2 linked regions of the Oryctolagus cuniculus genome follow. The protein of the gene in region 1 binds, or shares a complex with, the protein of each later gene. Links are inferred from orthologs where the notes say so. Each region holds a gene or a part of one and is shown on either strand. Other genes may lie near its edges.

Region 1 (4,625 bases):
GGCACTGCTTGCAGCTTTTGGTCTTTGGCTCTCTCCTCTTTGGCCACATACAACTTTGCAGAGTACACGGGTGGCGGAGAGAGTCAAGCCCAAGAATCTACTTCATGGATGTTGCCCAAGAAACACCTGGGTGTTCCCAGCGATATTTAACTGCTGTGAATTTGTCTGTATTGTCAAGCCAATGCCAACTATTTGAATAAGACTTACATCATTTTAGAATGCCTTAAATTTTCTAATTTCCTAATTTAATACAGCCAGCGGGGGCTGGCGCTGTGGCACAGTGGGTTAATCCTCCGCCTGTGGTGCCAGCATCCCATATGGTGCTGGTTCTAGTCCTGGCTGCTCCACTTCCGATCCAGCTCTCTGCTATGGCCTGGGAAAGCAGTAGAAGATGGCCCAAGTCCTTGGGCCCCTGCACTCACGTGGGAGATCCAGAAGAAGCTCTTGGCTCTTGGCTTTGGCTCTGCTCAGCTCTGACCATTTCGGCCATTTGGGGAGTGAACCAGCAGATGGAAGACCTCTCTCTCTGTCTGTCTCTCTCTCTCTGACTCTCTCTCTCTCTCTCTCTCTCTCTGGCTCTGACTCTCAGAGAAATATATAATAATAAATTTTTTTAAAGCCAGTGGTAATAAAGAGATCAAAACCGTGCACGACAGAATGCCTCACTTAGGATTTGGGATTTGGGGAGGGGACACTGTTGAGTGCTGTCACCTCTTGCAAGGAAAAGCAGAGTTACAGAGAGAGAGAGAGACGAAGGGAGATATAGAAGGAGAGATCTTCCATTCACTGGCTCACAATCCAAGTGGCACCGACAGCCTAGACTGGGCTGGGCTGAACCCAGGAGCCAGGAGCGTCTCCCTGGTCTCCCACGTGAGTGCAGGGTCCAAGCACTTAGACCAGCCTCCACTGCTTTCCCAGGTGCATCAGCAGGGAACTAGAATGAAAGGGGAGCAGCCAGGACTTGACCTGGTGCCCAGATAGGATGCCAGCATCCCGGGCATCAGTTTAACCCACTGTGCCACAACACCGCCCACCCCCCCAGCATGCCTGTATTTTTTAAACAACAGAATCAAAGCTTAATAAAAATATTTTCTATACTTTTTGTAACCTGCTGAAATTACTTCTTGAAAGCTTTCCATGAGAAGATAAAGAAACACACATTTGTCTTTGAGTTTCCACAAGTTGCCGCTCTGAGCATCGGCGGCCTTGTCCCTACCTTGTAGTAGTTCTCGTCTGCACGCAGAGCTTTGGAAAGTCCAAAGTCGCTGATCTTGGCGTAATGTTGAGTGACCAGCAGTACATTCCTTGCAGCCAGATCTCTGTGCACAAAATTGCACTCTTCCAAGTATTTCATCCCCATGGAAACCTGATGAACCAGCTCTATGATGTTCTTGTCCTTGACATGCCTGCGAGTCACAGGGGTACCATTAGCCACAGCGGAAGCGCCCACTTCAGAACAAGCAAACGGACAATGAATCCCCCCACCCCCGGGCTGTTCTTCAGTAACAACACTGGCGAGTAGCAACAGGTAATTTGTCAGTGTACAGCAGTGCAAGACTGGACACTGGCCTGCTGTTTAAAGGTTTGGTTGCCATGGCTTGCTTTGGATGACAAGCAGTGGAGCGGTCAGACCTGGCTCACAGATGGCCCAGTGTCAGTTGAAACCGTTGCTCCAATACCGGGCAGGTAACCAAACCAACCCGTCTCTGTTGTGTACCCATCTGGGAGAAGTAACAGCTCTCCGTGTCACAGAGACCGAGGGGACACTCCGGGTACAGCAGGTCTCTGGTGCAGAGAGCAGGCTGGGTTCTGGTGGCTGACTGTGCCCTACTCCAAGTGTTGGCGACAGGATCAGTCACTGTACCTTATACTCCCAGAGGGGCTCACTCTCGGGCACTTGGCGGTCCGCCAAGCCACACAGCTGGCTAACACTAATCCAAACATCCCAGATCTGAAACGTTTCAAACACTGAGATTTTTGAGCACATTCTAAGTGGAAAACTTGATAGTGGGAAACTGCTTCGGCCACAGAATTATTAAAAGTATTGTGGCAATGAATTTGGGCCATGTGTATGAAGTGTGTATGAAACACAAATGAAGTTCATGTTTAGACTGTGTCTCATTCTCAAGATATTTCATTATGTATATGCAAATATTCCTAAATCCAGAAAAAAAAATCCAAATTCATAAACATACCTGGTACCAAGTATTCTGGCTAGCAGATACTTAACCTGTATGAAACATAACCATTACCCCTGAGAAAATGTTTCTTGAAAAAAAATGTATTTTAGTGCCAGCATTGTGGTGTGGCAAGTTAAGCCACCACTTGCTAGCAGCTTTGGCCTGTGGATGTGAGCATTTGGGGAGTGAGCCAATAGATGGAAGATTTCTCTCTGTCTCTCTCCGCCTTTCAAATAAATAGACAAATCTTTGGGGGAAAAAAGTGTGTTCTGCCTAGGGAGGAGAGACTTTTTTTTCCTTGAGGCTGATTCTTTCATGGAATCAGTACACAGACCTTCAAAAAAGTTGATGGAAAAAACTGAATTAAAAGATAAATTTATTTTGATACAACAAAATTTGAAATTCACAAATAGTTTTCTCATAATGCATATTTCCCAGAAACTTTTAAAAAATATTTACTTATTTGAAAGGCAAAGTGACAGAGACAAACAGGCATACACACACACACACACACAGACATACAAAGAGAGAGAGAGTGCTTCCATCCACTGGTTCACTCCCCAAACGGTTGCAAGGGCCTGGGCTGGGCCATGCCAAAGCCAGAAGCCTGGAGCTCCAACTGAGTTTCCTTCTAGGGTGGCAGGGGCCCCAGCACCTGGACCATCGTCTACTGCTTTCCCAGGCCATTAGCAGGGAGCTGGGTTAGAAATGAGCAGCTGGGACTGGAATCAGCGCTTTGATATGCGATGCTGGCATTGCAAGCAGTGCCTCAAGCCACTGCACCACAATGCTGGCCCCATACATGTTTTCAAATATTATTTTCGTTTTTAAAATTTAGTCATTTGAAGAGAGAGAGAGACAGAGAGAGAGGGAGCAAGCGAGTGCCCCATTGGCTTGCCCATTCCCCCAAATATCCATAGTGGCCAGGGCTGCGCCCAGCTAAAGGTCTCCCATGTCGGTGGCAGGATCTCAGCCACTTTAGATACCACCACCTGCTGCCTTACGGGTGTACATTAGCCGCAAGCCGCGGTCAGGAGACCCCGACACTCTGCTGTGGGACGTCTTAGCCCGTAAAGGAAGAGAATGAGGATTCCGCTGCTGCATTGGAGCTTTCCCCGAGCGCCAAGAGTGAAAGAGCTGTGTCCAGAGACTCCTCTCGCGCCTCCCCTTCCCTGAGCGAGGACCAGCCTGGGCAGGCGTCCCGTGGAAGTGCCGTTGGCACACAGGTGGGAAGGTGGGTCCCCCCGTCCCCGGCCATCACAGCACAGCCTCTGTGCCTTCCGGGGAACCCAGTGATACCTGTTCTGTTGCAAGTACTTATTGAGAGGCCCGAGCTCCGCCATCTCCATCACCAGCATCCACGACTCGGCTTCGCAGATCCCGATCATGCGCACGATGTAGGGGTTGTCCAGCTGCTGCATGACGTTGGCTTCCGACAGCAGCTCGTCTTTCAGGGCCGGGTCGTTGGCCTCGTTCTTCAGTATTTTCACAGCCACCGTCTTCACCACCCTGCAAGAGAAATCGCAACATACAAAGCTTGCCAGGGGCCGGCGCTGTGGCGCAGTGGGTTAACGCCCTGGCCTGAGGCACCGGCATCCCATGTGGGCGCCGGTTTGAGTCCCGGCTGCTCCACTTCCGATCCAGCTCTCTGCTGTGGCCTGGGAAAGCAGTGGAGGATGGCCCAAGTCCTTGGGCCCCTGCACCCATAAGGGAGACCCGGAAGAAGCTCCCGGCTCCTGACTTCTGATTGGCGCAGCTCCGGCCCTTGCAGCCAACTGGGGAGTGAACCAGTGGATGGAAGACCTCTCTCTCTCTCTCTCTTTTTACCTTTCCTCTCTCTGTGTAACTCTGACTTTCAAATGAACAAGTAAATCTTTAAAAAAAAAAACACTTGGAAGACTGGCTCACTTCTACCTACCGGTTGAGACCTTCTTCCCTGAAAGCCTTGGGACCACAAGTGTTTTCCCATTTCAGGATATTTGTACACACATAATGAGCTATCATGGTATTGGGACCTGAGTCTACACACAAATTCATGTATGTTGCACAGATACTGTTTACATACAGCCTACACTGAATTTTACATGTACAAGCGTACTTCCAAAAAGTGTGTAGGAAGTGATATTACAAGTGGACTATGGTGCAAAAAAAAAAAAAAAAAAAAAAAAAAAAAAAACTGAAATCCATGCATACAAAGGGTCTTCACAAAGATCATGGGAAATGTGCAATATGAAAAAGCTGCGCAATGATTTCAAAATTTTTGTGCCAGAATAAACTTATCTTTTAATTCCATTTTCCAGTGGATTTTCTAAAGTGTCTTTTCATTTTTAGTGCTCCTGCATTTCGACCGCGCCCTGTCACACGAGGCCAGGAGTGGCATTTTTCACTTGTGGCACCGTGTCCGTGCTCAAAACCGTCCAGATCCTGGAGCATTTCCTATTTCAG
Region 2 (5,393 bases), on another chromosome or scaffold:
TTGTGGACTGTCGCGGTTTGGGCTCATTTGTAATACTGCCTCTGTGTGTTGAGGTCGCTGTACACATCTGACCTCTGACCCTGGAGCTCCTAAAGGGGTGGGGCCATCAGTGGACACACTGGGAGCCATCAGTGGACCGGGCCCACTTAATGAACCCGAAACAAAATCGGGCCCTCTTCTCCCAGTGGCCCACAGCTTCAGCATCATAGCCATGACAGAGATCTGGTCTGCATTCAAGTCCATTCAGGATGCCCCTCCCCCTCTCCCCAGGCCCCGGGGCCTTTGCACATGCTATTCCCTCAGTCTTCCCCGGCTTCAAGTCTCAGCTCACGTCACATCCTCAGAGAAGTGTTTCTCAATTTCCTGTCTCTAGTTCCCTCCCCTGCACTCCAGTCACTGTCTCACCAGCTCCTTTCCTTCCTTCGTGAATTTCCTTGTCTCTAGTTCCCTCCCCTGCACTCCAGTCTGTCTCACCAGCTCGCTTTCCTTCCTTCGTGACTTGTCCCAACATACTTCTGTCTGTTCATTTGACTCTGGCCGGTGTCCCCAGCTGCGGGGTGCGCTGTGCTGCCGAGTCCCACATCTGGCACACTGAACAGCCTGAGTTCACTCCCAGCCCACCGAGGCCCGCCGGCTCTTACCGAGCCAAACTTGAGATTCTTAGGAGGAAGCTGTATTCACAAGTGAGGCAGAGCTGCCAGGCAGGCCACGTGAGACCACACACCTGCCTCCACAGAGCGGGGTCACAAGTGGGGTTTTTTGGGGCGGAGTCTATGGGGCAAGGGGCGGCCTCACACAGAACCCCTGAAACCTGAAATCCCATAGGAAGACCAGTCTGTGTGTGCACGTTGCTCGGAGGCGCGGCCCCTGCCTCTGTCCGCACCACAGTTTCTAAGAAGGGGTTCAAGGACATGGACACGGCCCCTAGATCATATGCACCTGTGATTCTTGGCGTGGACTTTTCTGAAGTCTCTGGTTTCCATCAGCTTCTTAAAGGGACATAGCACGCCCCCCCCCCCCCCCCCGCCACACACACACACACATACACACACACAGTCCCCGGATCGGAGGGCTCCCCTCTCCGGAGTTCCCAAACAAAGGCTGCATGACAACCTCCTGAGAGTGGCTCTCAGACATCAGGGTGTCCTGGGGCCAGGGATTTTCCAGGACGATTTCGAGCCTGCCCGCTCCAAAGGCCTGAGCTTGCCTGACCAAGGCAAAGCCTTCGCTGGATGTCCTCTCCGCGAGGGTTCAGCTGAGCACAAGGCCAGGGTGGATCAGGTAATGCGGTTTTGGACAGATGCCCCCATTGGCCTTCTAGGCACGGGGAGCTTTGGAGAAAGTGGCTTCAAGGGTCCCCCGGAGGGCGTGTGGGGTACACAGGGCAGACACCTGCTAGGCAGGAGTGAGATTCGGGGAAGAGGCCTGGCTCCTTACCTGATAAGGTGACTCGGTCTCAGTGATGCGCGGCTTCCGGGTCACTGCGGGGGCGCAGGGTGCAAAAGACGGGCAGGACAGTGAATTGGGACCATTCTGTTGTCCTCACCTTGCAGCCTCCATCACCACCCCTCTGACGCCAGTGAACAGGCCCTTAGCCTGCCCCACCAAGAACACCACCACCACCACCAGGCCAGTGCTCAGAGCGCCCCAGGCCACCCCTGCCTGTCCCACTCACCGTCCACAGCCCCTCGGCCGCGAGGGACCAGCCGGCCGAGCGAGTACACAGCCAGGGCGATGAGCAGGGTCAACACCAGGTCCCCCAGCACGATCCCCGCCAGCGCCCCCGCACTCAGGGAGGAGCAGGTGCACTCTGAGAATCGGCACACGGCGGGGGTAGGGGTGGGGAGGAGGTCAGTGTGGGGTTGGGAACTGGGGGGTGGGCGTCAGCAGAGGGAGGCCCTGGAAGATTGGGGAGGGGGCAGAGAGGGGGAAGTCTTTGGGAGGTAGGAAGAGGGATTGTAAGGGCTAGACCTACCGCTCTGGGCCTGGACAGGGCTGAGACCTGAGGAGGGAAGAAGAAGGTAAACTGAGGCAGCGAGCTGTGACTGGAGTGCAGGTCTGGAGGCTGGGAGTGGGGGTGGGGAGCAGCGCCTGGCTGGCGTCAGGGCCATGGAAGGGTTTTACCTCTACAGGGCCTTGTCTTGCTGCAACAACTCGGATGTCTCCTCCCCTGCTTTCTACAGGAAACCGAATCTTGGGGACTGCGGCTCAGCAAAGACCCTCAGGCTTTGGGGGGGCTGAGAACCTGCTCCAGTCCAACCCCCCCTTTGGTTCACTCGCTCCACCCTGCTTCCTGCCCCTTCCCCCAATCCTCAGGAGACAGCTGCAGAAGCCCCCAACTCACCCCCCACGGTCAGAAGGAGAGGCAGGAACAGGAGCCTGCTGGAGCTTTCCAGGCCCCCCATGACACCAGCATACGACTGGACACCACCGTCCGAGGGCCAGCGGGATGAGGCGTAGCGTCCAACCAAGCGAAGGAGGAAGTCTGAGGCCGGCGGTGGCAGAGGAGGAGGGGACAGTGGCGAAGGAGGAGGGACAGAGAGAGAGAACATCAGAAAGAATCGGGCCCAGACAGCCCGGTGCCGGACACGACAAGCTCAGGTGCCCGTGTCAATCCTCAACCCGCATCCCCAGCTCGGTGTCGGTGCCATGGCAACAGGAGGGTCAGTGGCTAGGGCTGGAGCCAGCTCTGCCTCCCCACGGCTGGACGAGCTCGGGCCACTGAGCTCCACCTTTCTGGGTTGTTAGGAAAGATGGCACCTGTGACCGCTGGCTTCCCATATGAGCACTGGTTCACAGCTCCCTGCTAACGCGCATGGGGAAGGAGCAGAGGATGGCCCTGCCATCCACGTGGGAGACCCGGAAGAAGCTCCTGGCTTCCACCTCGCCCAGCCCTGACTGTTGTGGCCATTTGGGGAGTGAGCCAGGGCATGGAAGATCTTTCTCTCTCTCTCTCTCCCTCTCTTCCTACCCCCACCAACTCTGCCTTTCAAATAAATAAAATTTTTTAAGGAGCCATTTGCATGTGGCCCTAATGCAGGCACTCCATCCCAAGTGTTAAATCACTTATCATGCCCATTTGTGCTTGCCAAGGCGGAAATGGAACCCAGGACCCAAAGACAGAGTTTTGATTCTTAAGGAGAAAGAAAAATAAAGGATGAGTGACAACAACAAGAAGACAACAGCAAGGAGGAGAAAGATGGTGTAGAAACACACAGCCCCGAGACAGAAGCAGGGGCTCTAGGCTCGGCAGGTGGGGGGCTTCCCTGCAGGGTGAGGAAGTGGCAGAAAGTGAGGCCAGAGGGAGAGAGGAGGCAGGGTCTTTGAGCCCCCCAGCAGGAACCCAAACTGGGGTGGAGGAAGGAGGAACCTGAGGTTAGAGTGCTGGGGATGAGCTAGTAAGACCCCTCCCCCACCCACACGTCATGGCAGCCTCTCCCCGGGGCTGCGCTCAGGAAAGGGGAAATTGGACTGTCATGAGACAGACGCTGGGTGGCTGGTGCGGGAGGGGAGGGGACTGGAAGTCTGGCGCTGCCACAACTCTGGGTTCACAGGGTCCCTCTGGCTGTGGGCAGGGGGAGCAGGGGCGGGAGGAGGGCCCTAGGCTCCTGCACTGGTCCGGTTTAGGGTGAGTGTGTGGGGAAGTGTAAGAAAACAGTGAGTGGCGTGTGCTCAAGAAATGATCTTCATCATCCTTGTCATCGCTGCTGTCCTACGAGCACCCAGCCCTGAGCTCACCTGGATAAAACCCCTCCCTCCACCCCGCAGCACCAGCCACTGGGTCCCCTGCTGCCATCTCCCACCAGACCAGAGCTGTCCCCAGAAGATACTCGACCTAGCAGCCAGGACATCGGGCACACCGTCCAATCAGGACAGATGTGGCCAGGGTGGGGGAGGGTGGGGGTACTGGAGCCCCGTTTAGTAGCTGGGATATGGGGAAGGGAAAGCAATGCGAGGGAACGGGCTGGGTGGTGGCGGACCAGAGGTGTTGCAATCCTTTTGCAATCAGTACCGCTGTGCAGACCACAGAGGCGTGCAGGCCGGATTGGTGTCTGGGCCGGGCGGTGAAGGAGAGGATGGCGTGGAGGGCATTGCTCCAGGGGGCTGGGCTGGGGGCCTCCGCCCAGGATCTGCAGTGTCTCAGTCTGCTGACGCAGGGCCATGGCTTGGGGAAGGCCTTTCCCAGACGCGGGGTTGGCTCTCTGCTGCCCTCCCTGCTCCCCTGGCTGCCATTTCTGTCGCTGCACAGCCCAAATGCCCCACAGTTGCCAGGCAAAGATCAGCACGGTGCGCCGGCCGGCCGCAGTGCGCTGGCTGTGGCGGCCATTAGAGGATGAACCAACGGCAAAAGGAAGACCTCTCTCTCTCTCTCTCTCTCTCTCTCTCTCTCTCTCACTGTCCACTCTGCCTGTCAAAAAAATTTAAAAAAAAAATCAGACAGGGGCAGGCATTTGGCAGAGTGGTCAAGATGGTGCTTGGGAAGCCCCCGATCTCCCTGGAGGACCTCGGTGTGGTGACTCCAGTTGCTATGGAGATAGAGAGGGAGCTCCAGGCTCCTGGCTTTGGCCTGGCCCAGTCCCAGCCATTGCAGGCGTTTGAGGAGTGAGCCAACAGATGGAAGATCTCCTTTTGGCTCCTGCATTTCAAATCAAAGGAAAATTAAGAATTAAAAGAATTAGGCCGGTGCCGCGGCTCACTAGGCTAATCCTCCACCTAGCGGCGCCGGCACCCTGGGTTCTAGTCCTGGTCGGGGCACCGGATTCTGTCCCGGTTGCTCCTCTTCCAGTCCAGCTCTTTGCTGTGGCCTGGGAGTGCAGTGGAGGATGGCCCAAGTGCTTGGGCCCTGCACCTGCATGGGAGACCAGGAGGAAGCAGGAAGTGGCTCCCGGCTTCGGACTGGCGCAGCGCCAACGTAGTGGCCATTTGGGGAGTGAACCAACGGAAGGAAAACCTTTCTTTCTGTCTCTCTGTCTCTCCCTGTCTAACTCCGCCTGTCTTTTCTTTCTGTCTGTCTCTCCCTGTCTAACTCCGCCTGTCAAAAAATAAAAAAAGAATTAAAAAAAACCCCTAACTTTTTAAACAGCCCCCCAATTTTTGAGCAGACACGTCATAGAGGATGAGACACAGGTGGCCAGAACACATATGAGAAAGTACTCCATATCACTGGTCGCTAGAGAGATACAAGGGGAAGCCGAGGTGTGTCTGGGCATCGGACACACCCAGCGGAGTGACTGCTGACAGAGGTACCAGCGGGGGTGTGGGGCAGGCGGAGATCTCCTATGCTGCACAATGGCAAAGAGAAAAACCTCTTTGGGAAACAACTGGGTGCTTCATTGGAAACTTAAACAGTCATCTAGCCGCTGATCCAGGATTTCTGCTTCTACCTATTTACC

Evidence for each region.
Region 2: the proteins of SYK (region 1) and TYROBP are in contact, whole or in part, in a crystal structure (PDB 7Q5W), measured with the Homo sapiens proteins. The link is inferred for Oryctolagus cuniculus from reciprocal best matches to the Homo sapiens genes SYK and TYROBP. Residues at the interface, in NP_001167638.1 of Homo sapiens: Arg22, Arg42, Asn46, His62, His63, Tyr64, Thr65, Ile76, Ala77, Gly78, Gly79, His92, Asp97, Gly98, Leu99, Arg175, Arg195, Arg197, Lys212, Leu214, His215, Tyr216, Arg217, Ile228, Pro229, Glu230, Gly231, Lys232, His243, Lys247; in NP_003323.1 of Homo sapiens: Pro90, Tyr91, Gln92, Glu93, Leu94, Gln95, Arg98, Ser99, Asp100, Val101, Tyr102, Ser103, Asp104, Leu105, Asn106.

The regions. Positions count from the first base shown.
Region 1 is NC_091432.1:139,341,497-139,346,121, reverse strand, and holds part of SYK (tyrosine-protein kinase SYK), read right to left. Parts: intron 3,690-4,625; coding exon 3,480-3,689; intron 1,407-3,479; coding exon 1,217-1,406; intron 1-1,216. UniProt on the Homo sapiens protein: Non-receptor tyrosine kinase which mediates signal transduction downstream of a variety of transmembrane receptors including classical immunoreceptors like the B-cell receptor (BCR).
Region 2 is NC_091449.1:19,524,838-19,530,230, forward strand, and holds the start of TYROBP (TYRO protein tyrosine kinase-binding protein), read right to left. Parts: upstream 3,360-5,393; 5' UTR 2,553-3,359; coding exon 2,345-2,552; intron 2,003-2,344; coding exon 1,976-2,002; intron 1,811-1,975; coding exon 1,676-1,810; intron 1,482-1,675; coding exon 1,438-1,481; intron 90-1,437; coding exon 24-89; 3' UTR 1-23. UniProt on the Homo sapiens protein: Adapter protein which non-covalently associates with activating receptors found on the surface of a variety of immune cells to mediate signaling and cell activation following ligand binding by the receptors.